Linked DNA regions of Mus musculus. The protein of the gene in region 1 purifies or fractionates together with the protein of each later gene. This does not show direct contact. Links are inferred from orthologs where the notes say so. Each region holds a gene or a part of one and is shown in the gene's direction. Other genes may lie near its edges. The genes, in order: Ddx23, Snrnp200, Prpf8, Sart1, Prpf6, Snrnp40 and Eftud2.

The links.
Region 2: the proteins of Ddx23 (region 1) and Snrnp200 purify together in Homo sapiens (affinity purification with mass spectrometry; 3 studies listed by BioGRID and IntAct, counting the BioPlex papers as one, with this or other methods). This does not show direct contact. The link is inferred for Mus musculus from reciprocal best matches to the Homo sapiens genes DDX23 and SNRNP200.
Region 3: the proteins of Ddx23 (region 1) and Prpf8 purify together in Homo sapiens (affinity purification with mass spectrometry; 5 studies listed by BioGRID and IntAct, counting the BioPlex papers as one, with this or other methods). This does not show direct contact. The link is inferred for Mus musculus from reciprocal best matches to the Homo sapiens genes DDX23 and PRPF8.
Region 4: the proteins of Ddx23 (region 1) and Sart1 purify together in Homo sapiens (affinity purification with mass spectrometry; 3 studies listed by BioGRID and IntAct, counting the BioPlex papers as one, with this or other methods). This does not show direct contact. The link is inferred for Mus musculus from reciprocal best matches to the Homo sapiens genes DDX23 and SART1.
Region 5: the proteins of Ddx23 (region 1) and Prpf6 purify together in Homo sapiens (affinity purification with mass spectrometry; 3 studies listed by BioGRID and IntAct, counting the BioPlex papers as one, with this or other methods). This does not show direct contact. The link is inferred for Mus musculus from reciprocal best matches to the Homo sapiens genes DDX23 and PRPF6.
Region 6: the proteins of Ddx23 (region 1) and Snrnp40 purify together in Homo sapiens (affinity purification with mass spectrometry; 3 studies listed by BioGRID and IntAct, counting the BioPlex papers as one, with this or other methods). This does not show direct contact. The link is inferred for Mus musculus from reciprocal best matches to the Homo sapiens genes DDX23 and SNRNP40.
Region 7: the proteins of Ddx23 (region 1) and Eftud2 purify together in Homo sapiens (affinity purification with mass spectrometry; 6 studies listed by BioGRID and IntAct, counting the BioPlex papers as one, with this or other methods). This does not show direct contact. The link is inferred for Mus musculus from reciprocal best matches to the Homo sapiens genes DDX23 and EFTUD2.

The regions. Positions count from the first base shown.
Region 1 is NC_000081.6:98,649,370-98,653,275, reverse strand, and holds part of Ddx23 (probable ATP-dependent RNA helicase DDX23), read left to right. Parts: intron 1-294; coding exon 295-388; intron 389-737; coding exon 738-803; intron 804-1,219; coding exon 1,220-1,358; intron 1,359-1,677; coding exon 1,678-1,811; intron 1,812-1,919; coding exon 1,920-2,032; intron 2,033-2,219; coding exon 2,220-2,363; intron 2,364-2,457; coding exon 2,458-2,683; intron 2,684-2,986; coding exon 2,987-3,132; intron 3,133-3,383; coding exon 3,384-3,561; intron 3,562-3,906. UniProt on the Homo sapiens protein: Involved in pre-mRNA splicing and its phosphorylated form (by SRPK2) is required for spliceosomal B complex formation.
Region 2 is NC_000068.7:127,206,704-127,211,406, forward strand, and holds the start of Snrnp200 (U5 small nuclear ribonucleoprotein 200 kDa helicase), read left to right. Parts: upstream 1-1,682; 5' UTR 1,683-1,790; coding exon 1,791-1,835; intron 1,836-2,270; coding exon 2,271-2,434; intron 2,435-3,990; coding exon 3,991-4,162; intron 4,163-4,703. UniProt on the Homo sapiens protein: Catalyzes the ATP-dependent unwinding of U4/U6 RNA duplices, an essential step in the assembly of a catalytically active spliceosome. Plays a role in pre-mRNA splicing as a core component of precatalytic, catalytic and postcatalytic spliceosomal complexes.
Region 3 is NC_000077.6:75,485,164-75,489,698, forward strand, and holds the start of Prpf8 (pre-mRNA-processing-splicing factor 8), read left to right. Parts: upstream 1-1,613; 5' UTR 1,614-1,928; coding exon 1,929-2,028; intron 2,029-2,461; coding exon 2,462-2,630; intron 2,631-4,535. UniProt on the Homo sapiens protein: Plays a role in pre-mRNA splicing as core component of precatalytic, catalytic and postcatalytic spliceosomal complexes, both of the predominant U2-type spliceosome and the minor U12-type spliceosome.
Region 4 is NC_000085.6:5,378,676-5,382,581, reverse strand, and holds part of Sart1 (U4/U6.U5 tri-snRNP-associated protein 1), read left to right. Parts: intron 1-222; coding exon 223-396; intron 397-510; coding exon 511-621; intron 622-828; coding exon 829-916; intron 917-1,281; coding exon 1,282-1,372; intron 1,373-1,465; coding exon 1,466-1,601; intron 1,602-2,054; coding exon 2,055-2,144; intron 2,145-2,240; coding exon 2,241-2,362; intron 2,363-2,446; coding exon 2,447-2,465; 3' UTR 2,466-3,906. UniProt on the Homo sapiens protein: Plays a role in mRNA splicing as a component of the U4/U6-U5 tri-snRNP, one of the building blocks of the spliceosome. May also bind to DNA.
Region 5 is NC_000068.7:181,649,497-181,653,402, forward strand, and holds part of Prpf6 (pre-mRNA-processing factor 6), read left to right. Parts: coding exon 1-102; intron 103-600; coding exon 601-734; intron 735-1,589; coding exon 1,590-1,681; intron 1,682-2,937; coding exon 2,938-3,052; intron 3,053-3,906. UniProt on the Homo sapiens protein: Involved in pre-mRNA splicing as component of the U4/U6-U5 tri-snRNP complex, one of the building blocks of the spliceosome.
Region 6 is NC_000070.6:130,358,470-130,362,955, forward strand, and holds the start of Snrnp40 (U5 small nuclear ribonucleoprotein 40 kDa protein), read left to right. Parts: upstream 1-1,662; 5' UTR 1,663-1,736; coding exon 1,737-1,880; intron 1,881-4,158; coding exon 4,159-4,288; intron 4,289-4,486. UniProt on the Homo sapiens protein: Required for pre-mRNA splicing as component of the activated spliceosome. Component of the U5 small nuclear ribonucleoprotein (snRNP) complex and the U4/U6-U5 tri-snRNP complex, building blocks of the spliceosome.
Region 7 is NC_000077.6:102,840,365-102,843,272, reverse strand, and holds part of Eftud2 (116 kDa U5 small nuclear ribonucleoprotein component), read left to right. Parts: intron 1-1,504; coding exon 1,505-1,591; intron 1,592-1,745; coding exon 1,746-1,872; intron 1,873-2,015; coding exon 2,016-2,103; intron 2,104-2,890; coding exon 2,891-2,908. UniProt on the Homo sapiens protein: Required for pre-mRNA splicing as component of the spliceosome, including pre-catalytic, catalytic and post-catalytic spliceosomal complexes. Component of the U5 snRNP and the U4/U6-U5 tri-snRNP complex, a building block of the spliceosome.

The DNA.
Region 1 (3,906 bases):
TTTATCTGCCTGTGTCTGCTTCCTGGGTGCTAGGACCAAAGGTGTGCGCCACTATACCCTGGCTTGTTTGGAACTTTTGATAACAGTAGTGAAGCCACTTTTCTGAAAGAGTTAAGTCAGAAGGAGTTCGGGTAGAGTGGAGTCGAGATGGGGCATAAATAGGTTTCAGAGCAGGCAGGGGACTGGGCCTTGCTTAAGAAAGCTTTAGGTCGTGATGGCTGACCATGGCCAGTCTTGAGTACTAAGAAAACTTCTGTTCTCTTAGCTCTGAACCTTTCCTCTTTTTCCTTAAAGCTTGTCTCCTGGCCGAGGAAAGGATTTCAAGTCTCGGAAGGACAGAGATTCTAAGAAGGGTGACGAGGATGAACATGGAGACAAGCGACCTAAGGTAAGGTGGGCTGGCGCCTCCTTCAAGGGCTGACCTGGAACTCAGAGATCCGCCTGCCTCTGCCTCCCAGTGCTGGGGTTAAGGTGTGCGCCACTGCCGCTACTACCAGTGCCCAGCTAAGGAAGAGAATCTTTTTTTAATGATTCCTTTATACTTGTTATGTGCATTATGTTTTGTTTGCATGTATGTCTGTGTGAAGCAGTCAGATCCCCTGGAACTGGAGTTGTAGACAGTCGTAAGCTTCCATATGGGTACTGGAAGAGCAGCCAGTGCTCTTAACCTCGGAGCCATGTCTCTAGTTCCATGAGGGAGAATCTTTCTAAACCCAGTTCCCATGTCTCATGCTCAGATCCAGCCACTGTCCCTGGAGGAACTTCTGGCCAAGAAAAAGGCTGAGGAGGAAGCTGAAGCTAAGGTAAGGCTGTGGCATCTGGATTCATGTGCTCTGGCTGTTCTAACAAATGCCACAACTGGGCAGCTTCAGCGTTGGAGCTCTAGGACTGAGAAGTCTCGGCTGCAGTACCAGTGGTTTCCACTGAGGCCCGTTCACAGATGCCGATGCCGATGCCTTTTCTGTCCTTACAGTCACCTCTGTGGGCTCGTCTCCTCGGTATTGATACGTTATTTTCTCATGGAACTACCATGCCAGGAGGCTGCTGTGTTCCCACCATGCCACCTGACTGGCTGTACCTGCAGTCCATGCCAGAGTCCTAGGCCTCTATGTAGTTTTATCAGAATATTTACTATGTTAAGTGAATATTTAGGGCCTTCCTGGGTCTCTGTGGCAGTGATGTGGCTAGATGCTGTTAACCATTCCCTTCTGTCTTGAAGCCCAAATTCCTCTCTAAAGCAGAGCGGGAGGCTGAAGCTCTGAAGCGGCGGCAGCAGGAGGTGGAGGAGCGCCAGAAGATGCTCGAAGAGGAGCGGAAGAAAAGGAAACAGTTCCAGGACCTGGGCAGGAAGATGCTGGGTTTGTTTTCTGTCCTGAGTAGAAAGGGTGGGGTGAAGTTATGGAGAGGGATAGAAATTAGGCTATAGCTCCTGGTAGAACTTGCCTGCCATTCAAAAGGCCCTGGGTCTGATCGCCAACCATTGCAAAAAGAATGGGAGGGCGGAAGATGGAGACTTTTTGTTCCAGACTTTGGAATGGTGAAAGGTCATGGAAATGTGTTAGGTCCCCTTCCCACCCCACGTCCATTCGCTTTCCTCCCATGTCCTGATTGCCTGCATGCTTTCCGAGCCTCTCCCTCCCACGGAGCTCTTCCACAGCTGTTCTTCTTTGTCTGCAGAAGATCCTCAGGAAAGGGAACGGAGAGAACGGAGGGAAAGGATGGAGCGGGAGACCAACGGAAATGAGGATGAGGAGGGGCGGCAGAAGATCCGGGAAGAAAAGGACAAGAGCAAGGAGCTGCACGCCATTAAGGTACCGGCCGAGACCCCCCCCACCCCCCCCCAGAGGCCAGGGTTGGTCGTTTCTCTCTCTGTCTCAGGTCAGGACCTCAGCTGACGAGCTCTGTGCTTTCCTTGATAGGAGCGTTACCTGGGTGGCATCAAAAAACGGCGCCGAACAAGGCATCTCAATGACCGAAAGTTTGTGTTTGAGTGGGATGCGTCTGAAGACACCTCCATTGATTACAACCCCCTGTGAGTGGCTCCGTGCCCACATCCTGGGGCTCGGACACTGGGTGGTCCTGAAGAGCTAGTGACAGAAAAAGCAAGCGGGTCTGGGATGAGGCAGGGATTGACCAGTCTTTCTGAGCTGGGGGAGAATCGGTGCCCATCAGCAGGTTGCCCTTGCCGTGAACTGCTCAGTTCTCTGTCTGCATCGCAGGTATAAAGAACGACACCAGGTGCAGCTGTTGGGGCGAGGCTTCATTGCAGGCATTGACCTAAAGCAGCAGAAGCGAGAGCAGTCACGTTTCTATGGAGACCTGATGGAGAAGAGGCGAACCCTGGAGGAAAAGGAGCAGGAGGAGTGAGTCGTTGGGCTTAGGGTGGTTGGGCAGAGCGCGGAGGCCACGACAAGGAGTAAACTGATTTCGCTTAACCTCCAATCATGTCTTCTTCAGAGCAAGACTCCGCAAACTTCGCAAAAAGGAGGCCAAGCAACGCTGGGATGACCGCCATTGGTCCCAGAAGAAGTTGGATGAGATGACGGACAGGGACTGGCGGATCTTCCGTGAAGATTACAGCATCACCACCAAAGGTGGCAAGATCCCCAATCCCATCCGGTCCTGGAAAGATTCGTCTCTGCCCCCTCATATCCTGGAAGTCATTGATAAGTGTGGCTACAAGGTAAAGGGGCAGACTGACCCAGAGCTTCCGCTGGCTCCTCCTACGTTCTAGGACTGCAAATGTAGTTGGGACTGGAGAGCTCTGTTCCTTCACCATCCTTCGTCTTCTCTGCCCACAGCACCAAACTTAACTATGCCTGTCACTTTGTGGTGGAAATGTGGGCCTTTAGGGCTTGTGTTTTTCCTTGGGCCCCCTTTCCTATGTGTCTCGGGTATATGGTGGGAGCATGCTTTGCCCGCTGGGTTAGCTCTATCCCAGATGGTGTGATTCTCTACCCATTACTTTTATTCTGGGCCACTGTAGGAGCCAACACCTATCCAGCGTCAGGCCATTCCCATTGGGCTGCAGAATCGTGACATCATTGGTGTAGCTGAGACTGGCAGTGGCAAGACAGCAGCCTTCCTCATCCCATTGCTAGTCTGGATCACCACACTTCCCAAGATTGACAGGTAGGCTCAGCTCGCCATCAGTTGGGTGCATTGCTGGGTACGACATAAGGCAAACTAGAATCAGTAGCTGTTTTGTTTGTCGTCTGTTGAGAGAACCTTATATGCCCTGGGTTATCTTGTAGTCTGATTTTTACATGGGATCACCAACCTGCCCATTCCCATAGTTGCTCTAAGAGTAACTTTGTCTTGTTCCTGCTTGTGGTCAATGAGACCAAAGCTTATGGAGATGTGGGATACCCCATTTACCACAGGATCGAAGAGTCAGACCAGGGCCCTTATGCCATCATCCTGGCTCCTACCCGTGAGTTGGCTCAGCAGATTGAGGAAGAAACCATCAAGTTCGGAAAGCCACTCGGTATCCGCACTGTGGCTGTCATCGGTGGCATCTCCAGAGAAGACCAAGGCTTCCGGCTACGCATGGGCTGTGAGGTTAGTTTCTCAAATGAGCTCTAATTAATTACACTAATATATACTAACAATAATGCTAGTAATTAATGGGCATCACAACAGCCATGTGAGAGCAGGTAGTGGTAGAGATTGTACACTGTTTTATAGATGGTGAGGGTGATAACTCGGCTGCAGTCCAACACGGCTGTCAGTGGGCCCTGTAAAGGGGGAAGAGTTCATAGCCAGAGCCTGTGTTCTTACTAAAGCATGGTGTTGGCAGGCGTTCCTTAGAGAAGATGGAGAGATCCTGTAAGGAGATGAGAGGAATTCTCATGTAGACCTCTCAGTGTTGCTCCTTCCACAGAGCTCTCTGCCTCTCTCCTTCCA
Region 2 (4,703 bases), on another chromosome or scaffold:
GGCGCACACCTTTAATCCCAGCACTTGGGAGGCAGAGGCAGGCAGATTTCTGAGTTCGAGGCCAGCCTGGTCTACAAAGTGAGTTCCAGGACAGCCAAGGCTACACAGAGAAACCCTGTCTCGAAAAACCAAAAAAAAAAAAAAAAAAATTGACAAGGGCTTATTTTATATCTTCCAAGTGGAACTCCATTTGGGAAGGTAACTATATTTGAAATGCAAATTCTTAGACCCCCTAAACGATAAAACTTCTTCCTACTAATAAAGAAGAAAAAAAGTAAATGAGTCCAACCTAGGGTTACTATGCTGCTCTTACTGTTAAATATGATAAGGTACAGCTTGTCACAACCATCCATAGCTGCAGCCACGGTGTTTATGAGTTGGAGGCAGGGGGATCAAGAGTGCAAGAGAAGTCTCTGGATAGCAAGTTTGAAGCCTGCCTGGACTCCAGGAGATCTTTTCTCAAAAACCAGATAAGGGCTAGAGAGATGGCTTAATGGTTATGAACACTGGCTGCTCTTTGAGAAGACCTGGGTTCCAACCCCTCCACACACATGGCAACTCACAACCTATCTGCAGCTCCAGTCTCAGGGGATCTGACACCCTCTTTTGGACTTCGTGGAAGTCTGCATGTAATGATACACAAACATACATGTAGCCCAAACACCTATCTACATAGAATAAAATGTAAATGATAAACCAAACAATAAAAAAAAATTGCCAGCAAAATGGCTGGGTGGATTAGGACACAGACTTAAGGTTCACTCGTGCTTATTAAATATCAAGGGAAAGCAGAACTCACTGTTTTGCTTTCAGTGTTGTGTAGAGAATTATGAAAAGACTAAATACCACCTTTACATAAAAGGTACCACTACTGCTGAATAAAACTGAATAGTAATTCCATACATATTATTTATTTTTCATATATTTCTTTAGTAAAACATTCGTGTCACATTGAGGAGGACAAAGTTATACATATGCTGTAATCCGCACACCTAAAGTCCTGACAGGCTGTGACAAAAGATTGGGCACAAATAGTTCTTCCTCTACCGTCAGTCAGCTGACACAGGGGAGAGTCTTGCGGAAAGGGGTTTGGGGTAGAAATCCAGTCGGTTACTAGAACTAGGTACATGCTAACTTGCTTTTTTTTTTTTTTTTTTTTTTTTTGTCTTTTTGTTGTTGTTTTGGTTTTTTGTTTGTTTTGTTTTGTTTTTCGAGACAAGGTTTCTCTGTGTAGCTCTGGCTGTCCTGGAACTCACTTTGTAGACCAGGCTGGCCTCGAACTCAGAAATCCACTACCTCTGCCTCCCGAGTGCTGGGATTAAAGGAATGCGCCACCATGCCTGTCTTGCTAACTTGCTTGAACCTTCAGCTTCCTTATCCCTTAGTTTCCGTTTGCCTGCATGTCTGCCTGCCTCACAGGATGGCTGGTATGAGAAACCAAAAGAATTACAGAAAGGGACTTTCAACATACGCTTAGGGGTTGGGCCTTGGCTCTGTCGCAGGTAGAGATGCCTGGAACCACAATTTGCACGCGCGTGTGTCTCGTCGGTCAATGGAATCCTTGACCCGGATGTACTACTGTACATCTCCGCAAACCCCGCCCAGAAGCAGTGGTTAGTAACCGGAAAGTCTCACGTTTAGCGGGCGTCCCGGAAGCGGAAGCAAGTCCGTTTCTTTTCTCCGTCCCTTACGTTCGTCCTGCGTTGTACCTGTTGTGCCAGGGCGGTTCGCTGAAGCGGTTCGGAGCGTGAAGAAGAGTGGAACCCTGAGTTCCCGGAGCATCAGCAGCCATGGCGGATGTGACTGCCCGCAGTTTGCAGTACGAGTACAAGGCGGTGCGTGTGGTCTCGAAGGACCGGTGCAGACAGGGGAGGTCGTGGACAGCCACGGACACTTGAGCGGGAGATCAGAGCTGGGTGAAGGATGGATTAAAACACGAAGGAAAAACCCCGTGGAATTTGGGGCGCTTGAGAATTTAGGAGTTGGGTTTTCCCCAGCCCCCTCAGCGCTAAACTCGCACCTTCTTCTCTTTACCCGCAATGTGCCCAACATTTTACCCAAATGTGGGCTGTTGTGGATGCTCTTAGGAGCGCTGGTCGTTCACCTTCTCAGACAGCAATAGTGCTCGCGCATCGTGTAATGCTATGTTATTTCTTCTTAAGAGCATGATTTTTTTTTTATTCCACTGTTTTCCCATCATCTGCTGTCACTGTAATAACAGGATTCAAAACTATACATATCAAAGTTTTGATAAAGTATGATCTTTTCAGAACTCAAATCTTGTGCTCCAAGCTGACCGCTCTCTCATTGACCGGACCCGCCGGGATGAACCGACGGGAGAGGTTCTGTCCCTGGTTGGGAAGTTGGAGGGAACCCGAATGGGAGATAAGGCTCAACGGACCAAACCACAGATGCAGGAAGAAAGACGGGCCAAGTAAGTACTAAGGGGATGCTGGATGCTATTTTTCCATCTAATGTAAAGCCCATCTTTAGCATTAGAGCAGTAGTTTTACTCAAGTTTATATGGAAGATGAGTGGTGTGTGCACAACAACCAAGGTTTAGAGCTTCTTTGGATTTAGGTGTAATGAAGTGGAACAAAATCTATTGATACCTTTTACTGACTCGTTTCTGATTCATAGATGTTAATTTTCTTCCGGTTATCTTTTTAAAAGATCTGTTTTATTTTTAATTACGTGCATGTGTATGTTCGTGTGGGTTTGTGCACACGTATGCAGATGCCTGTGTGGAGGCCAGAGAGGGTTTGAGAGTCCCTGGAGCTAGAGTTACAGGAGGTTTTGAGTTACCCAGTGTGGGGCTAAGAACTGAACTTGGGTCCTCTTGGAAAGCAGTACTGGGGTGAACAACTCGACTCTTCTCTCCAGCCCCATCCCCGACTGTTTTCAGGACTTGAGTTAATCTCCTCTCTGTAATTCACCTCCACCATGTTGTTACAAGCTTCTCTCCCCAACCCTTCTCTCCTTTTGTTGCCCAGCACTTCCTGATGATTTCTGTTGTCTTTTCATGTTGGTGGGTTCATTTCAAAAGTTAAATACTACTTACTTTATTTTGCCTGCCTTGCTTTTCTTTTCTCTTCTTCTCTTTTCTTTTCTCTTCTTTTCTTTCTTCAGAACAGAGTATCTTGCTCTGTAGACCAGGCTGGCCTTAAACTCAGAGATCCACCAGCCTCTGTTTCCTGAGCACTGGGATTGGAATTAAAAGTCCTGTGCCACCACCTCCCGGAAAATTGTGTTTTCTTTCCCCTCCGTCCCTCTCTCTCTCCCCTTTTAAAAAATATTTATTTTATGTATATGAGTACACTATAGCTCATCTTCAGACTGTAGCTGCCTTCAGACATGAAGAAGGCACCTCAGAAGAGGTCATCGAATCCCATTACAGATGGTTGTGAGCTACCACGTGTTTGCTAAGAGTTGAGCTCAGGACCTCTGGAAGAACAGTTAGTGCTCTTAACCGCTGGGCCATCTCTCCAGCCCTCTCCTCTCTCTTACTATGGAGTCTTAACAATCCCCAGGCCCTGTTTGATTTGAGTGCTTATGTTTTAGAAGAGCTTAATTATTGTTCCTTGGTCCTTCAGTTTTCAGAGTCTGACGTCTTTTCTAGTTGTTTATTGGGAGTCATTAAGAGTAAATTCCACTGGAGCCTAGTTTCTCTCACTCCTAAAAAGTGATGGATGCATCTAAGGTTAAAAAAAAAGTCTAAATCATATTATAAAATCTCATATGGATATAAAAAGATGTACATTTTAAGATAATGGAGACTGTATCTCATTGTAACAGCATATCAGAAGATGGCACATTTTCTTTCTATAAATCTGTCCCATAAAGAAGTGCTTCTTCAAATCACTAAGGTCTGGTAGGAGTTAATCATTTTGATTCATGTTCCTGCCTTCACATATTAGACGTATAGAAAGGGTAAGCTTGGCTTAGGAATGGCCAGTTCTTCCATTCAGCATCATGTTGTATGTCCTTTAGGAGGAGAAAACGTGATGAGGACCGGCATGACATGAACAAGATGAAAGGCTACACGCTGCTGTCTGAGGGCATTGATGAGATGGTGGGCATCATCTACAAGCCTAAGACGAAGGAGACCCGAGAGACCTACGAGGTGCTGCTCAGCTTCATCCAGGCTGCGCTGGGAGATCAGGTGAGCCAGTCTTACCTCTGGATTTTCCCAGTAGGATGGGGAGGGCAGTACCATTCGAGCAGAGAAGTAGTGAACATGTTCCAGGTCAGAGGCAGGCTGCTGAGTGCCTCTTTCACCTAGAGACATGTGGCAAGCTGTTGTGCAAGTTGTCTTCTGCTTCTGAAGACCACCTATGCCCCCACGCCCAAGCGCTCGGGCTGTCTCCAGGAGCTCACTAGTTTTAAGCACATGAGGCAACACTGTGTTAAGTCCTCAACAGCTCCCTCTAGGCTTGAAGGTTGCTTTTGTTTGTTGGTGTGAGATGAGGTCTCCTGCAGCTCAAGCTGACATCATACTCACTATGTATTTAAGCATGACCTTGAACTTTGGTTTTGTTGCTGCTTCCCATGTGCTAGGATTGCAGACTTGTGCCACTGTGTCCTGTTAACGAGTGTTCAAAGCCCAGGATGCTGCATATTTTCTTGTTTGCTTTGTATGTATATACACCATATAGCCCCAGTACCCTTAGCAAAAGAGGTTTCAGATCTCCTGGAATTTGAGT
Region 3 (4,535 bases), on another chromosome or scaffold:
CAGTCAGCTACATCCTCAGTCCTGCTCCTATATTTTTTCCTAAGCTTCCTTCTAAGGTCTTTATTGGTTTATGATTTACACAGAACATTTTTTTTTCTTGTCTATAGCATGCGTTAGAGTGATCGTTGCCAGATAGAGGAAAGAGAAATGAGAGAAGAAGGTCGTTACCAGTGAAATTCCCCAGAGACATTTCTAAGTTTTCTAGGTTATCTCCTTTCCATCTCCCAAAGAAGCACGATTATTTGTTTTGATACAGTCTCTCTCTAGATCCTTGGCTGTGCTGTACTGGAACTTGCTATGTAGATTTGGCTGGCCTTGAAAACACAGAGATCACCTGCCTCTGCCTCTCAAGTTCTGGGATTACCATCATGGCTGGCAGGGTTTTTATTTTTATTCTTCAGTTAATTTTGTTGCTTGAAGCTCCAGGCATTAAATCTAGTACGTTACTTCTAATAATCAAGCATTAAGCTCAAAATCTGGCGCCCTGAAGTCAGATTACCATGCTATGCTTGCCAGTGCTCATCATGCTGTGTTACAAGAATCTTTAGGCGTTGGGAGAGACAGCTTAGGGGTTAAAAAGATTTACTGCTTTTGCAGGGGACCCAGGTTCCCAGCACCCAAGTGGTAGATCATACCTATCTCCATTCCAGGGGAGCTAATGTCTTCTTTTAATCTCCCTGGGTACCAGGCATGTCCGTGGTGGGCAGACATACATGAAGGCAAAACATTAATGATTCTTTGTTTTGTTTTGTTTTGTTTTGTTTTTGAGGTTTGGTAAACACTATATAGCCGAGGAAGAATTTGAATGTCTTTTTGAAAAAAAAATATTTTATGTATATGGGTTGTTTGGGTTGCATGTATGTATGTGCACCATGTGTGTTCTGTATCTACAGAGGGCAGAAGAGGGTTTTCAGATCCCCCTAGAATCAGAGTTTCGGACAGTCGTGAGGCACCATGTGCTGGGGATCACACCAGGTTCTCTAGAAGAACAGCTAAAGCTCTTAATCGTTTAGTCCTCTTTCCAGGACCAGACTTTGAATTTATGACTATTCTGCCTTTAACCTCCCGCCCCTCCACCCCCACCCCCCACCCCCCACCAGTGCTGAGATCCTACAGGTCTATGCATTGCCAGAAATGGAATGAACCAAGGGCCTCCTGTACAAACTGAAGTACATTCCCATCCCAGATCATCATACATTTTTGCCAGCCTTCCTTCTGCCTTGGATGGTCCAAGAGTTATTTGACTCTTTGGTACATAGTTACCACTATTAACAGTAATGTAATGAAGGAATAGAAGAACAAAGGATTCATTGAGTAGGAGTTAGTACTACATATCAGCTCTGAATTCATGAGAATAAATATAGGGGAAATGTGCAACGTACGCAAACTTATTAAAATTGTATGGCTTTGGCTTTTGAGGAACAATATCAATAGCCAATTAAATGTCAGATCTATTAGAGAGGGCTCCTAAACTGACTGGCAGAAGGCGGGGCGTGAGCCTACCCTGACCACACCCCTCGCCCTGAAATCCGCTTTTAGACCCGCCTCTCCGGCTCGGGCTGCAACGTCAATTGGAGATGTCGCTAATCCATCAGAGCATCTCGGCGTCTATTGGATGAGCTTCTGAGCCTGGTTGCGCACTTCCTGGAGTTGGGAACGCGGAGCGGACGTCGTCTTTCCGCCATTGCTCTGCGAGCCTAGCCGCTACCTGAGTGAGGGGCGACAGGTGGGTGGTGGGCGTCTGAGGCTGAGCGCAAGGTAATCGAGTGGGCCGAGCGGCCCGAGGAGCTGCGCCAGGCCCGGGTCCCGAGCGCTCAGCCCGGCTAGAGTGCAGGCCAGGGGGCTCCGGACGTGTTCCATCTGCCCCTTGTGGGCCCGGGCCTAGCTCATTAGTTTTGGCCTGCCTCTCTATCCCAGATTCTCCCGGCATGGCCGGAGTGTTTCCTTACCGAGGGCCGGGTAACCCGGTGCCCGGCCCTCTAGCCCCGCTGCCGGATTATATGTCAGAGGAGAAGCTGCAGGAGAAAGGTGAGAGGCGAACGGGAACGGCGTGCGCGGGCTCGAACGTGTAGGCGGGTTTCATTTCTTCCCTCCATAGGCAGGTCATCAGGGGTGTGCTTATTAGCAGTATTTACATTTTTAAAAATTGAGTCCAATCATTGAAAGTTTGGAAGTGCCTGTTATTTTGCAGGAGCTTATTGTGTACGTGTGTGTGTGTAAAATGCATCAATGACGATAAAACCTGTTTCCTTATAGGGTTTGCATTACTATGTAGGAATTAGACAACAACCCTCCCCAAAACATCTATAGCAAAAATATCAGGTGGTTTGGGGTAGTAAAATGGCAGGATACTTGGCAGTGAGTATTTCTCTTCACAGCATGCCGAGGGTTGCCCCAGGGCAAGAGTTAGGGATAATTAGGGTAAATGTGTGCAGCCCTTTAAGCTGAGGTGCTTTTCTAGCTCGAAAATGGCAGCAGTTGCAGGCCAAGCGATATGCAGAGAAGCGGAAATTTGGGTTTGTGGATGCTCAGAAGGAAGACATGCCACCAGAACATGTCAGGAAGATCATTCGAGACCATGGAGACATGACCAACAGGAAGTTCCGTCATGACAAAAGGGTCTATTTGGGGTGAGTAACATCCCAGGATAATATCATATGGAGTTTGACTTCTTTCCTTCCTCTGCCCCTTCATTGACAGTGCTGGATAGAGGGACTAGCATTTGGAATGTGACTTTTTAACTGAGACAGTTTCCCTGTGTGGGCATTTTTGCCCTGGATTTAGCTCTGTAGACCGGGCTGCCCTTTAACCGATAGGGATCCCCATGCCTCTGCCTCCAAAGAGCTGGGATTGAAGGCAGATGTCACCGTGTCCAGCATGGAACATGGCTCTAGGCTGTACATAGGATGACTGTAGGAGTAAGGCTAGGACCACTGGGATTCTGTGATAGTTTCCAGATCGTCTACCTATGCCATTGATTGTTTTGCTTTGCCCTGCTGGTGTTGTTGTAAAATGTCTGGTATTGTGGAACTGTTTGAAGCTCAAATTAAGACACTAGGCATTCTGGATGCCTCTTTGGTCACTATCATTCAGAGGTTTAGGATAGTTCATTCCTGGGGTCGCTCTTTTACTGTTAATTCTTCCACCTCAAGCTGCAGAGATTCTTAACATTCCATTTGGATACAAAAATTTGGCCTGTTAATTAATTGATGTGGGGGAAGCCTTGGAAGTTTTTTTGTTTTGTTTTGTTTTTGTTTTTTTTCCTTTTTAAAGATTTATTTAATTCATTTATATGAGTGTACTGTAGATGTCTTCAGACACACCAGAAGAGGGCATCAGATCCCATCACAAATGGTTGTAAGCCACCATGTGGGTGCTGGGAATTGAACTCAGGACCTTTGGAAGAGCAATCAGTGCTCTTAACTGCTGAGCCATCTTTCTAGCCCCACCTTGAGAGTTTTATTGCAAAAAATAATTTCTTAGCCAAAAAATAATTTCTTAGCCAGGCAGTGGTGGTGCACGCCTTGAATCCCAGCACTCGAGAGGCAGAAGCAGGCTGATTTCAGAGTTCAAGGCCAGCCTGGTCTACCGAGTGAGTTCCAAGACAGCCAGAGCTATATAGAGAAACTCTGTCTTGAAAAAACCATTAATAGAAATAACAATACATGATGTGAATAAAAGTACGACGGCAAAAAAAAAAAAAAAAGAAATAACAATAACAACAACTTCTTGCCGGGCAAGGTAATAGCATACGCCTGTAACCCCAGCACTTGGGAGTCTGATTACTTTGAGTTTGAGGATGGCCTGGTTTACAGAGTGAGTTCTATAACTGATAAGGCTGGACAGAGAAACTCTGTCCTAAAAAATAAAACATCAACAACAAAAATAACTTAAGCAGCCGTGGTAGTGTTTGCATGTAATCTCTGCCCTTAGCTGCAGAGGCAGGAGAATCATGGGCTTGAGGCCAGTTTGAACTACCTGGTGAGATGCTCCATCAAAAACAGCAAAGCCACGTGTGGTGGCACAGGCATTTAGTCTCTGTGCATGGGAGACAGAGATAGGTGAGACTTCTGTTCTATACAGTGAGTTTCAGGCCAGCCAGGGCTATACGGTGGGACCCTGTCTCAAACAAACAACAATAAACATTATTACTGTTATTATTGAAACTTGCTTTTGGTCTTCAGTGAATAGACCGTATTGGTCCTTTTTTTTTTTTTTTTTTTTTTTTTTTAGGAGTATAAGTTTAGTGGTATGATGGATGAGAGACAAATGGTTACCACATAGAACAGGGAAGGTATTGGAATTTACAGGAAGGGTAGAAGGAAGTTGCTTTCAAAGGGACGGGTGTTAGTTTCTACAGACTGGGTCCCGCACCAAGACATTTGAAAGGGAGAGTGGTATTAGATGAAGGTGGAGATGAGGAGGCAGGACTTGTGATCGTGTAGGACCTTAGTCCTAATTTGGGACTTTGGAGTATAAGGCAGCATTTTGTGTGGAACACGTGATAACTGGCTTGTCAGCAGGGGACAGATAAC
Region 4 (3,906 bases), on another chromosome or scaffold:
GGTGTCTCCTGTGTGGCACTGATGCCGTAGGCGGTAGGGAGCCATTTGGGTTTGGACAGAGTGAACTACAGAGGCCGAGAGGAAATGGAGCCCGCTTGGGAGATCCATTGGGGCTGTGGGAGTTGCTTATTTATTGCCACGAGGGAGGATCTGTGGGTTCTTGAGTCTCTGTGGTATCACCCCAGAAACTTGGGGTCTGCCCACAGCCACTGCCTCCCCCAGGTGCTGGAGATTGTGAAGAAACTGGAGTCTCGCCAGCGCGGCTGGGAGGAGGAGGAGGACCCTGAGAGGAAGGGGACCATCGTGTTCAATGCCACTTCTGAATTCTGCCGCACGCTGGGGGAGATCCCCACCTACGGGTTGGCTGGCAACCGCGAGGAGCAGGAAGAGCTCATGGTACGTCAGCAGTTCCCTGGCTGTTGTCCTTAGGCTGCTGACTTCTGCTTCTAGTGCTTGAATGTAGCAGGTAGGGTTGAGGCTGCCCACCCTGACACTGACTTGTGGTCCTAGGACTTTGAAAGGGATGAGGAGCGCTCGGCCAACGGTGGCTCTGAATCAGATGGGGAAGAGAACATTGGCTGGAGCACCGTCAACCTGGATGAGGAGAAGCAGCATCAGGATGTGAGCACCGGTGGGCGTGGGTGTGGGGACCCAGGCTAGTTGTCCAGTGCCTGAAAGCCTCCACCCATCCATAGAAGGGGCACTAACCCTTCCAGAGCCAGCTGGGGGTCAGTTAAAACTGGTCCCACAGCCTAGTGCCTGGTGAGGATGACCGCTGGATAGAAGAGATGGGGCAGCCTGCTCACACTTCTCTTTTCTCACCTCTAGTTCTCTGCTTCCTCTACCACCATCCTGGATGAGGAGCCCATCGTGAACAGAGGGCTGGCTGCTGCCCTGCTCCTGTGTCAGAACAAAGGTGTGGGCTCAGGGTGGGAGCCTTGGCAGTGTGGGTACTATAGCCGGGACGGGCTGGATGGTTGCCTGTGAGTACTGTATGGTGTCCTGGGTTTCCACTCCTCTTCCCCTCAGTCTCGGGGCTTCAAGCAGCTCCCTAGACGCGGAGCCTCTCACTGCCTCTCCTGCTGCGGGGTGAGAGGTCTGCTTCTCTTCCGTGCCTCAGAAGTGGGCTAAACCGGATACACTGGGGCCAGATCCCAGCTGTGCTGCCTCCTTAGGGAAGTGCTGATCTTTGATGTCCGTAAAGATGCGGCATGTTTAACTCCTGAGCAGGGCTCTGAGGGACCTGTATGAAGCTGGGTGTCAAAACTTCTCTGTCCCTAGGACTGCTGGAGACCACAGTACAAAAGGTGGCCCGGGTGAAGGCTCCCAATAAGTCACTGCCCTCAGCAGTGTACTGCATCGAGGATAAGATGTAAGTGTGGCCGTGGCGACATGAAATAGGAGCAGCTGTGAACATGGGGTAGGCAGCAGGCAGCTCACCCTGAGCCCCTCTGCCTTGGTCTAGGGCCATTGATGACAAGTACAGCCGACGGGAGGAGTACAGGGGCTTCACCCAGGACTTCAAGGAGAAAGATGGCTACAAGCCTGATGTTAAGATTGAATACGTGGATGAGACGGGCAGGAAACTGACTCCCAAGGAGGTGAGCAGGGTCTTGTGGAGATGGTCAGACCACAGGTGACGAGGTGAATTCTGCCTCCGTTGCTGACTTTGGGCGTAGTACTGAAGTTCCCACAGGCTGGCTGTCAGGAAGGTTACACCTGTGCTGACTGCCACAGCTGAAGCCCTGTGCCCTGAGTATGCCTACCAGCATCCCCTGCTGCTTCCCATCTCTGTATGCTGGTTCCATGTTTGCTGGCATTAACTCCAGCTCCCAGAGGCAGGCTCACCCTGGACCCTGGATTCTTTTTTGGTTTTTCGAGACAGGGTTTCTCTGTATAGCCCTGGCTGTCCTGGAACTCACTCTGTAGACCAGGCTGGCCTCGAACTCAGAAATCCACCCGCCTCTGCCTCCCGAGTGCTGGGATTAAAGGCGTGCGCCCACATCCCGGCTGCCTGGCCTTTCTGATGCCTCTGCTCCTGCTCTGTATCCCAGGCATTCCGGCAGCTGTCCCACCGCTTCCACGGAAAGGGCTCAGGCAAGATGAAGACTGAGCGGCGGATGAAGAAGCTGGATGAGGAGGCGGTGGGTCTTGGGAGGGAGGTGGGGGCTCTGCATTTTTGGGTGATGTGTGATATGCTGGGCCTGCTCCCCCTGTTCTGACCTCCTGTGGCCCCACAGCTCCTGAAGAAAATGAGCTCCAGTGACACGCCCCTGGGCACCGTGGCACTGCTCCAGGAGAAGCAGAAGGCCCAGAAGACACCGTATATCGTGCTCAGTGGCAGTGGCAAGAGCATGAATGCGTGAGTAGGAGCCGGAGGGGTGGGGAGGCACTGCATCCCCTTTCCAGTCTCACAGCCTCATCGCCCACCCTCTTCTCCCTGCAGGAACACCATCACCAAATGAAGCCGCCCTCCTCCCTGGCCCAGATGTAGTGTTAAATAAAGTTCCCTCCTTATTTTTCCTCTTGGTTGTGCTGCTGTCTAAGGTTAGACCTAGGCAAGGCCTCTGTCACGGTCAGTTCTGCCATCTGGCAAGTCGCTGAGCCTCCTCGCCCTTCTGTGTTGCCTTCCGAGTGGTCAGAACACCTGCTTCATGCGTGAGGCGCCGGTGAGCTCTTTCGTTCACTCTCTGGTTATCCAGGAGCGGATGGGCCTGATCCTTGAACCTGTGTGATTTAAAGTCTGATCTCTGCCTGTAAGACTGGCCATTTAATGAACAGAGGAGGTGAGAAACCAGCCTGGTCCCTCAGAGGACATTCCTCTGTGAGCTGACTCCATTGTAACAGAAGCCCTCCACCCAGTGGCGTGTACCTGTCACACTGCGGTCAAATTGGCTTCTTGATCCCAAATCATTGCTGTTTTCAGACTGGTCACATGCGTGTTGCTAGGCCTTAGAGAGCCACTAACCACCCTGTGTTGTCCTGGTTACAGTTTTCAGGGTACTAAGTAAGGATTGCCTAGGCTCTCTGGAAGGGTAGAGATGTTACCTCCTGTCCCCTGTGTTACTGTGGCATTTGTGGAGGCATGAGGGTCATCCCAGGACTGGGGTAGGGGTTACCTCGAGTGCACTTATATACGAGGACTGAGCCACCCTGCTAGGTGCCTGCAACTGTGCCTGGAAAGATGGGCTTTCTAGGAAGGCGCTGTGGAAGAAGCCCTGCTGAGCCACAGGCTGTGGGAGGACCCTGCCCCACAGGTGGCTACTTTGAATCAGAAGATGAGTGCCCTGTGTCAGTTACTGAAGCTAGCCCCATGTGGGTCTCTGGTGAGTGTATCAAATAACTAGAAAAAAGCAAGAGACAGGAAACCCAGTTGTTTATAAGTGATACTAGGTAGCAGTTCCTGAGACACTGACCATAAAAGAGGTGAGGTCAGTTGGTGTTCTCGGCTGTGCCTGTGGATCTTGGCTAGTGATGGTTGTGCAGGAGTGTCCATTTCTCTAAGTCTCAGGTGCTTGATTATGGTGTCTACTGGCTATGGCCATTGGTCAGAGGTCACTTTTTTTGTTTCCTTTTTTGAGACAGGGTTTCTCTGTGTAGCCCTGGCTGTCATGGAACTCTGTAGAACAGTCTGGCCTTGAACTCAAGGATCCACCTGCTTCTGCCTCTTGGGTGCTGGTATTAGAGGTGTGTGCCACCACCACCTAACTAAAAGCTCACACTTATTTTCAGGAAATTGGGTTGGTGCTGTTGCTGCCACACCTTAGGGAGAGCAGGGCCTAGGGGCTACCAAGTAGCAGGAGACTTGATGCCAAGGGCAGACAGGAACCCAGGTTCGCTGTCAGCGGGTGGAGAAGGTTAGCGACTTAGGTTTGTATTTGGGACATTGGTCTAATGTCGCATATT
Region 5 (3,906 bases), on another chromosome or scaffold:
CTGAGGCACTATGAAGATTTCCCCAAGCTGTGGATGATGAAGGGGCAGATTGAGGAGCAGGGAGAACTGATGGAGAAGGCCCGGGAGGCCTACAACCAGGGGGTAAGCCTCTGTCAAGGTATCCCAGGGAACCCGGCAGCATGACATGGCAGCAGTCATTCCCACGCTGGGAAAGAAGTGGAGGGCCAGTGGTCGGGGATAGAACTTTGTGCTTGGAATTGAGCCTTTGTTCTTCCTGTCACTGTGGGTACTGTGTTTTTTTCCTACAAAGTTGCACACCCTGTGTTTGGGATATATAGGGTTTGTTCAGTACATCAAAAGTCGTACAATGAGCACATTGTGTACAAAGTGCACACCCTGTGTACACATGTGCATGACACATATTCAGAGTCCTACAGGCATCCTTTACTGTACCTGTATACAACACAATTGCACACAGTAACCCGATGCATACCTGTTTGCATGTGCACACTGTAGAGCCATGTCGAGTATGAAGCACGTGTCTTAACAGCCCTAAAGTGCTCCTATGAGCTGACCACAGTTCTCAGTCTTTTGTAGATGCTCTCTGAACTATTATTTTGTACAATTTTTTGGTCACAGCTGAAGAAATGTCCTCATTCCACACCGCTTTGGCTCTTGCTTTCCCGACTAGAGGAAAAGATTGGGCAGCTGACACGTGCTCGGGCCATTTTAGAGAAATCTCGTCTGAAAAACCCAAAGAACCCTGGGCTATGGTGAGTTCTCGGTAATCACCTCACTTCCCCCTTTGAGGCTCCTCAGTTCCTTCTTCATTTTACCCAGTCTCCTGTGGACTCAATAATAGGTGACAGCTTTTATGAGGGTCATAGTCCTGCTTGGGAGAGCTGGGTCTAGATGGTAAGTGCACTTTTGATGACGTGTTCTGAGATGTCAGGGAACGGAACTGAGAAAGTGGACTATAAAAGAGGTAACAAGAAGGCCTTGAGTAACATGAAGAAACTTGCTAGAGGGAGCTGAGTATGGTGGTACTAATATTCCCTAGTACCTGGAAGATCAATGGAGAAGGCTAGTGAGTTATGCCAGGTTGGGCCACATGACGAGGTGTGGGTAATGGATGCAGAGTCCAGCTAGGGGTTAGACAGAGATGAGAGAGGACACTGCTGGGGGACGGGGGTTGTCATTCTTAGGTGCCTGCCATGTAGTGATCATGTATGGTCTGTGTTTGTTCCCTTGTCTTCACTTGTATCTGGATCCTGTGGAGTCTGGGATCTTAGATGGGAATGCTGCCTTCTTATAGACTGGACACCAGTACTACCATCCATGTAGAGAATGAAATTCTAACCCCCTTCTAGGAGACAAGAGCCTTCCTTTACAGGCAGTGGGGAAGAATCACTTACTGAGCAAATTTGACAATCTGCATTTAGTTTAGTGGAACCCAGTGTTTCCAAAAGTGGTCCTCTGACTTCCACCTATGTGTGGTAGCATGACAATAATAATAAAGTAAAAATGCAAAAGCCTTTTAAAAGGGTCTCTCTGGCAGAAGGCCAGTTGAAGTAGTTGGTTGTGCTATGATAGATGGGGATGTCCCATCCCTGGGCCTGTTTTCCTAGGTTGGAGTCAGTGCGGCTGGAGTACCGGGCAGGGCTGAAGAACATTGCCAATACCCTCATGGCCAAGGCGCTGCAGGAGTGCCCTAACTCTGGTAAGGACTCCTGGCCATGTGTGTCGTATGGCACAGAGGAAATCTTTTGTGGGATGGGATCAGTTGACTTTCAGGGACTCCTGGAAGACACATCCTGTGTGTCCCATTTTAGTCTAGCTTCGTTGATGTGGTTACAAAGACTTCAGACTAAATCCTCAGTTTTAGTATGGGACAGTTTGATTTCATGTTCTGAGGCACTATCATTTTTCTAAGTTTTTTTTTTTTAAAGATTTATGTAAATGGGGGCTGGAGAGATGGCTCAGCGGTTAAGAGCACTGACTATATTTCCGAAGGCCCTGAGTTCAAATCCCAGCAACCATATGGTGGCTCACAACCATCTGTAATGGGATCTGATGCCCTCTTCTGGTGTGTCTGAAGACTGCTACAGTATACTTACATATAATAATAAATAAATCTTTAAAAAATTATTAAAAAAAAGATGTATACGAGTATACTCTATCTGCATGTACACCTGTGTGCCAGAAAATGACATTAGATCCCATTACAGATGGTTGTGAGCCACCATGTGGTTGCTGGGAATTGAACTTGGGATCTCTGGAAGAGCAGTCAGTGTGCTTAACTTCAGAGTCATCTCTCCAATCCCTTAAGACAAGTTTTAACTTTTATTATTTTTCTTATATATGGTATATAAGAAATGTAGTCGGACAGTAGTGTCATATACCATCTGCTTTGCTAAGTTTTCTTGTGCTAGTAGTGGTAGTTTTTTGTTTTGGTTTTTGTTTTGAGTTTTTTGCTAGACTTACCCACACCCTCATCTAGCCTCTGTGGGAACTAGCAGGTACACCTCTCCCCTCTCCCCTCTCCCCTCTCCCTTCTCCCCTCTCCCCTCTCTCTCGAGACAGGCTTTCTCTGTGTAACAGTCCTGAGTGTTGTCCTGGAACTTACTTTATAGACCAGGCTGGCCTCAAACTCATAGAGATCTTCCTGCCTCTGCCTTCAAAGTGCTGGGATCAAGGGTGTGCACCATCCCACCTGGCTGCTTTCTTTATTTTTAACAGCAGTATGTGATAGTGCTTTCAGATTATCATTGCCCATTGCCTGTTTGCTGACTCGGTAAGAATTAAAGCTACCTGATTCTGTTCTGGCAAGGCTGGTATAATTCAGGTTACTGGTTAGATGTTTGAGACCCTTGTGGTTGCCCTGAGTATACCCTTTTTGGGCAATCCTAAAGAAGAGGGTGCATTTCTCAAGCCAGAAGTGAGGCTGAGGGGTAGATATTTGCTTGTGAATTTCAGGTATCCTGTGGTCTGAAGCTGTCTTCCTTGAGGCAAGGCCCCAGAGAAAGACCAAGAGTGTGGATGCCCTGAAGAAGTGTGAACATGACCCCCATGTGCTTTTAGCTGTGGCTAAGTGAGTAATTGTTCTTTTGGGATAGCATGGGGTTCTGGTATAGTTTTGCCAGCCTCTTTGCCTGGCTATTCTGACTTTGTTTGCACAGGATGAGCTACATGGGCCTCTGCTGCCAAAACTCCTGCTCCAGCGTTCTGGGCAGCACTCTGTTGCTAGAGGCCTTGAGGTGCAGTCTAGACATCTGTCTGGTCACTCCCTCTTCTCAGGTCTCCTGGGTTCTTTGGCTCATCCTCAGTCCCAGGCTTCTGATGGGACTGTTGCCTTTGTTTCAGTACCACATGGGGCCTGGATTACATGCAAGACAGATTTGTTGATATTGGTCCACACAGAATTTAAGTATTAAGCCAAGCCCATTTGACTGAAGGGGCTTTATCTGAGAGGTTTTTTGTTTGTTTGGTTGGCTGGATGTTTGTTTGTTTGTTTTTTGTTTGTTTGTTTGTTGATACAGGGTTTCTCTGTGTATCCTGAATGTCCTGGAACTCACTCTGTAGATCAGGCTAGTCTCAAACTCAGAGATCTGCCTGCCTCTGCCTCTGAACTGGTGGGACTAAAGTTATCACCATCACTGCCCAGAGAGCCAAGAGGCTTGCACTTTCATTGTGTTAGCAGAACTCAGACCCTTTCAGCTCAGTGACCCTGGGAATAACCTGCTGTAATCCATTGTCCTGGAGTACAGAAATGATTATCCATGGTTCATATGAACTGCAATGTCATCAAGTGATTTATCACCTTCCAGCACAGGACTGTGCCACTGGTGGAGACAGAGCCTTAGACCAATTTGGTTTTAAGTGGCATTGAGTGTTCAGATTCTGGTGCAACTACCTTCACATTGCTACCTGGCACCTCTGTAGTGT
Region 6 (4,486 bases), on another chromosome or scaffold:
AATACATACATGCACCGGGGAGGCAGAAACAGGTGGATCTGAGTTCAAGGCCAGCCTGGTCTATAGAGTGAGTTTCAGGAGCTCCAGCTACATATTGAGACCCTGTCTTAGGGGAAAAAAAAAAAGAAGATGAAACAATGTGTCACGCTAGCAGCCTGGTATGGGTTGAAAATCCCAATGTTGCCCAGGCTAGCTTTGGTTTTGTTGCTTTTGGTTTTGAGACCTCCTGTCTCAGCCTCCAGTGTTGGGACTAAGAGCATCATCCAATCTATTCTGTCCAATTTACTCCCCTGCTATCTCAAGATACTGTTAAACCTGTCTTCAGTCACAGCTCCAGCTTGGTTCTCACTGGCATTGCTGATCAGAACTACTGTTCATGCTCCCGAAATGGTCTATTTACTCCCAGTAAACCTCTTATCTTTCTCCAATCTCATCACACCATTAAGCCTGAGGGATCAAGTCCTCTTTTGCACCACATTCTGGAGGAGAGAGAAAACTATCGCTGGCTTCCTATTAATTTTAAAGTAAAAGCTTCAACTTCCTGCAAATCTTCATGACTTCCAGGTTCATCCCATACCATATTCACTTTAAGCTAGCGCTCTCGCTCTCGCTCTCTCTCTCCCCCCACACCGGCTCTTTGTGTCTCCCTCATCTTTCCGACTGATAGAACCTGCTGTTCTGTGCAGAACGTTCTCCCTTCCTCTCTTCCCCTAATTAGAACCGTCCCATCAGATAGGAACCGCTCAGATGTCTTTTCCTTTAAAAAGCCTTCAAGTTTATATTAGTAACTCACAGCAAGAGGCATCGCTTGTTTAGGTAGTCTTCCGATCAAATGGTTTTTGTTTAACATCAAATTTGTTTAACACGTTTCCCACACTCTGGGGTAGAGGACCATATTTCTTCAGAATGACCCCCAAACGCACTGCACAATAAATATCATTTGGACCACTTTCGAGAAGACCTGGCACGCAAGCATGATTGTTCGATTTCTCAACTAAACTGTGCTTCGGAAGAACCATCTGATACTTTCCTCATCACTGGCTGTCTCGGGGACATAAATTAAAGCCCTTTTAAAAAGACGGCTAAATCAGTGACAACTAAGTCCGCCGCCTCAGCCAAGTCCGGCACTGAAGCCTGGAGGCCAGGACTCGGGCCAGCACAGAGCTAGACGCAGAATTGGCATCCTGCAGAGCAGCTGTCAAGGGATAGCCGTCTGAGGGTTCGAGTCCTGGAGCCAGAGATGCCAAAGCTCCGCTCCAGCCTACCAAGGGACTTCTCTTTCCGGCGACACCTCCTGCCACCCCATGCTGCTAAGGCTGATAGCTGAAAAGGGCAGGCTCAGGCCTATCACCACCTCGCACCTTCCAGATTGGAACAGCCACCCGCCTGATTCCCCACACACTCACTCCGCGTCCGCGCCTAGCAGGACAGCCGCTTCATAGCTAGGAACGCCAAACCTGCTCCGCTCGTTCTCACCCACGATGCACTGCGCGCCCGAGGGGGCGGGGGAGAACGCCAGCTCCGCGACCCAATCCCAGAGTCGCCTTCTCGTGACGTCATCAGAATGGGACCAATCACAAGAGTGTATTCAGAGGGCTTTCCAGAAGGAAATGTTAGAAGCCAATTGGTTGCTCCTCTCCGGAAGTTCTGGAGGAAGAACTCAGTTGGAACCAATTGCGCGGCGCCTCCGGTCGGCGGCGCGGTTAGTGGCGGCGCCGAGGAGAGTGGCTGCCGCCATGATCGAGCAGCAGAAGCGTAAGGGCCCGGAGCTACCCCTGGTTCCCGTCAAGCGGCCGCGACATGAGTTGCTGTTGGGAGCGGCAGGAGCCGGCCCCGGAGCGGGGCCGCAGCAGGCGACTCCAGGGGCATTGCTGCAGGCGGTAAGTGGGGAGTCATCCCGCCTTTGGCCCTCCGCCCCTCTTCCTACGGATGATGTCGCCTCTGAGGGAACGGAAAGACAGTGAGCCTGAAGTTAAAATAGGCTTCTGTGAAGGTGCCTGGTGTTCTCTGTGTGGTTCATACGTGTTTCCCTAGTAGACGCCTGTTTTCAGCCCTTCAGTGGCATTGAATCATTTAAAACCTTGGCCTCAAAATCAAGACCCAAGCTTCCGCATCCTAAATCTTCAGGGGTTTAGCATAAAAGAAACATTCAGGAAAGTTTGCAGAGTGGACGAATGAATGAGAGGGGAGGCAATGGAAATGAATGATAGCTCGCTTTACTACCTGGTAGAACTTTTTTCTTTCTCTGCATTTATAATTGTAATTAACACTCGTTGGATGTTATCTTGGATGTTTTGCGTGTGAAATTTCCATTAACCATGGTACCTGACTGAAAGAAGCTGTTACTTTGCAAATGGGGAAGGCAAACTTTTTTGTATCCAGAAGATCCATGGCTCCAAGCCAGTGTAGGCTATTTATTATGGCAAAGTCCTGTTGAAAGAGAGAAGAGAAGAGATCTGTGTAACTATGATCTTTTTTTTTACCTTCTTGTTAAAACTGTTTTTATGTCATCTGACATCACTGCAGGTAGAGCTTAATTTAGTATTCCTGGTTTTTGTCTTTGAACCAAGGATTGGTTATTAATCCAGTAGCCAGGGGAATCATGGAAATATTAAGTCACATGGTATACTCTGCTGAAAACATTATGTTGGCTTTCTATTGTGCGTTTTTTTAAAAATCAAATTCTCTGTAATAATCCCCTCCTTACCTTGTTCATCTACCAGTTTTCTGGCATGTCACTTGGCTCAAGACACCGACTTATAATGTTCTTTCTTTCCTTGGTGCTTTTGCTGGAATGTTCTTTTAAATGCCCACATGGTCAGCTGTTTGCTCTTTCAAATCTTTGCTCAGACACCAGGTTTTCAGAGGGGCTTTCCTGACCACTGTGTTTCAAGTTGGAGTGTCCTGTAATCTGGAACCCATACTGTTTCTTCCCATGGCACTCAGCACTGGGTGGCTCTGTGTGCCTTTCTCTCACTTTCCACTAGAATGCAAGGTCTACTGTTTTACTGAGTGCTGTTTTAGGCGTGTGTGTGTGAGTGTGTGTGTGTGTGTGAGTGTGAGTGTGTGTGTGTGTGTTTCATATGTGGGGAGGGGGAACTCAGTGGCCAGAAAAGAATGTTGGATCCTCTGACCCTAAAGTTACAGCCCTTGAAAGCTGCCCATTGTGGATGCTGGGAACTGGACTTGGGTCCTTTAGAAGAGCAGTAAGTGCTCTTAACCACTGAGCCATCTCTTTAGCCAACATGTGACACTTTTTGAATAAAAATGTTGGATGAGTATGATCTTGGTACATTATTTGCATTTATGGATATATCAAAATGAAACCCATTGCTTATAGATAGTACATGATAATAAAAATAAGTAAGTCTGCCGGAATCTGCTAAAGAGATTTCAGGATTATTGGTAGTACACTTGTTCTTATTTAATGAGTAAGATTGCCTAGGTTTATTCTCCAAGATCATAATCAAATCTACTTTGCTAAGCCTGGCACAGTGATACACACTTGTTCTTAGGAGGACTGAAAATTTTAAGACCTTCCTGGGCTACATATTAAGACCCTGCTCATTCCCCCAAAATCTATTTTGCGTAATAAGCTGTACCATACAAGGTTTTTCAAAGGCTAGCTGGGTGAACTTGAGACAGGAAAATGGTGACTAAAATGAAGAATGTACCTGTACTCCCAGAGCTTCATCTCTTTGGGGAAAAAGAAAGGCAAGAAAGGGAAATTCAGGTAGTGATGGGGCTTTGACCGCCTGCCCTGGAGCTAGTGGAATACTGGTGTGGGGAGGTACCTCACTCAAAGTAGGTTAGTTTGAGTGATGAAAGACAGACTCTGAGGAGGAAATATTTAAAAGATACAAAATAAGGAAGGTCTCTTGTGAAAGACATCTTTCTATGTTAAGATTCTGAAGCATAAGTGGATTCAACATGATCAAGCAGTCAGAAGTCGTCTGTGGAACAGAGACAGCCTTAGGGAGAAAAAAGCGCATTGGGCATATGCTGGACTGTCCAAGGGATTGTCAGAGAGTTCTGTGAGCAGGGGTACTATCGCTGACCCAGGTGAGATCTGTGCTATCCCTGACCCAGATGAGATGCGCTGCCCCAGCTTTCCTTTGCCTGTGGACAATGGCTGCCTCACACTTGTCTTTGGTTTAGGGACCGCCCAGGTGTTCTTCCCTTCAAGCTCCAATCATGCTGCTCTCGGGACATGAGGGGGAAGTGTACTGCTGCAAGTTTCACCCCAATGGATCCACCCTGGCTTCTGCAGGATTTGACCGGCTAATACGTAAGGCACAATTTTGAACTGGAGTTACATACAGCTCTCTGCTAATAATGATCTCTTTAATTTTGAGTGCCATAGAAATCCTCAGACATCAGTCTAAATTGCCAAGTTAAACTATAGTCATGCTAAAGCAGGGCATGTGTAAAATAAAAGGAAGGAAATGTACTAATTGGAAAGTAGGTTGCTTCGGTTGGAGTTATA
Region 7 (2,908 bases), on another chromosome or scaffold:
ATCCATTGCTTTGTATGCTTTTTCAGTTTTTCTGTAACAGTCTTGTACCGCAGCTCAGTCTGCCCTGGAACTCATTATGTCTGTCTCAAAAAGGGGGAGAGGGGTGCAGCGTGTATGGGAAGGAAGATACCCCACATCAGCCTGTACACACATGACTATAAACATGCTCGAGCACGCACTCAAACCTATTCACACACTCAAAGGAAGAAGCTGGGTGTGGTGGCACACACCTGTAATCAATCCCATTACCTGGGACATAGAGGCAGGAGGATCAGGAGTTCTAGGCCAGCCTCAGTCACATAGCAAGTTTGAGTGCCTATTAGATTCTTTACTTAAAAAAAAGTCAGACATGGTGGTACACACACCCTCAATCCCAGCACTTAAGATGCATCCAGGTAGATTTCTATGTTATGAGTTCCAGGGTCAGGGCTACATAGTGAACGCCTGTCTTAAAAAACAACAACAAAAACAGAAACAAAAATCAGGCATGGTGGCTCAAGACTGTAGTCCCAGCACTTGGGAGGCAAGACAGGAGGAATGCTGCAAGTTCAGGGCCAGCTCCATCTGCATAGCAAGCTCTAAGCCATCTGGGGCTACTCATATCACCCTGTCTTGGGGAAAAAGAAAGAAAATGATAGAGGCTGGCAACATGTACCTGGGCACCTGGGACTGACAGCCTCCTCCTCTCCCACACTCACTCCAAGCCTGCCCCAGCCTCAGCTCTACAGCAGGAGAAATTGCTTGAGATTGTCTGGGGGCTGTGTGGTGTGTGTGTGGTGTATGTGTGTGTATTGTGTATGTATGTGCGTGTGTGTATGTGTGTGTTTGTGGTGTGTGTGTGTGTATTGTGTATGTATGTGCGTGTGTGTATGTGTGTGTTTGTGGTGTGTGTGTAGGTGTGCGTGTGTGTGTGTGTGTGTTTGTGGTGTGTGTGTGTGTGTGTGTGTGTGTGAGTGAGTTGATTTTTGATGTCTCTCATAGACCAAGATGATCTGAAGCTCACTACATGGAAGTGTCAGATCTTTCTGCCTGCTAAGCACTGAGATTCAAAGCATAAGCCTCTATGCCAGCTTCAACATCAGTTCCTTTTTTTTAAATGGCTCCTCACACATGTTTACACGTGCTGTGCTGGCAGGCTCCACTCTCCAGCCCCAGCCGCACTTTCCAAGAAAAAGCAGATAAATGGAGAGATGGCTCAATGATTAAAGGCACTCGTTGCTCTTGTAGAGGGACCAACATTTTTCCAGCCACATGGTGGCTTACACTTCCAGTCCTTAGTAGCCAATACTCTTGTCTGGCTTCTTTGGGCACTCCACACATGTGGTACACTTACATACATGCAAGTGAAATAACTCATACGTATTTTAAAACAAAACAGAAATGAAAGAAGACACCCTTTGCTGAACTTGCTCCAAGATTCCATTTCTCTTGCTGTCTCAGCAGTCTGTGCTGTTGGCCCTACTCATCCTGTAACCTTCTCACTGCCCCTGTCCTTTCTGACCAGGAACAAGATCACCATGATTGCCGAGCCCCTTGAGAAGGGCCTTGCTGAGGACATAGAGAATGAAGTGGTCCAGATCACCTGGAACAGGTTGGAACAGTGTTCACACTATGGCGTCTTTGCCTGGTCTCCTGACACCATCCCTCTTTCGCTGTTGTCCTGACTATGGTGTGGGTAGAGTGGGCCGCTGTCTTACAGAAAGGCAGGATCTGTGGCCCCAGGAGTCTCCTCCTCTTTCCTCCAGAAAGAAGCTGGGAGAGTTTTTCCAAACAAAGTACGACTGGGATCTGCTGGCTGCCCGTTCCATCTGGGCCTTCGGACCTGATGCTACAGGCCCCAACATCCTAGTAGATGATACACTGCCCTCAGAGGTAAACCAATAGGATGCCTGTGGCAAAGTGTTATCCCTAGATGAAGAACCTGCAGTGCCCTCTTCCCTATTGAAAGATGGCTTCTCACAGCCGTACTTTCTCCTCCTAACACTGCCTGCTAAGACGACCTAATGTTTCTGCAGGTAGACAAGGCCCTTCTCGGCTCAGTGAAGGACAGCATTGTTCAAGGTTTCCAGTGGGGGACCAGGGAAGGACCCCTCTGCGATGAATGTGAGTCCACCTTCAACCCGCAGCTCCATTCCCCAGGACCCTGTACCTAGCCATGGGAGGCGGTGGCACAGGGAAGGGCTTCACGGCTTTCAGACACAGCAGGAAAAGATTACACTGGGCCAGCCTCCTCCCCGCTCACCCCCTGTCCCACCCCCAGCTCCTTCCCCATCTCCAAAATGAAGGCATCTCTAGATTGACCTGGATCCTAATTGCTGGGTAGAGCCCGTCTTTGGGCATGTTGAAGACAGATAACATGAGATAACATGAGGTGATCAGGTTGGAGTGGTTTATTGATGCAGTATAATCTCTGTGGGACCAAATACAATTTCTTTTTTTCTTTCTTTTTTTTTTTTTTTTTTTTTTTTTTTGTTGTTGTTGTTGTTGTTGTTTTGAGACAGGGCTTCTCTGTGTAGCCCTGGCTGCTCTGGAACTCATTCTGTAAACCAGGCTGGCCTCGAACTCAGAAATCTGCCTGCCTCTGCCTCCTGAGTGCTGGGACTAAAGGCGTGCACCACCATGCCCGGCCTCCAAATACAATTTCTAGAGCACAGTCTATGTCCAGAAAAAAGTTACTCAGAACCAGCCCATACGCTTGTAAGAATGTTCACACGTCACAGTGTGGCCGGACTCAAATGCTAAGTAATGTTTAAACTGCTGACCTATATGCTATTGGGCTTGCTGATCTGGATGTGAGCTGTCTGTATCATATCTTTGTGTGGCTGCAATATGGCCTCAGTGTAGCAAATTACCCTGCTGCTCCACCGTGCGCTTTCCATCTCCTTTTCAGTGATTCGGAATGTCAAGT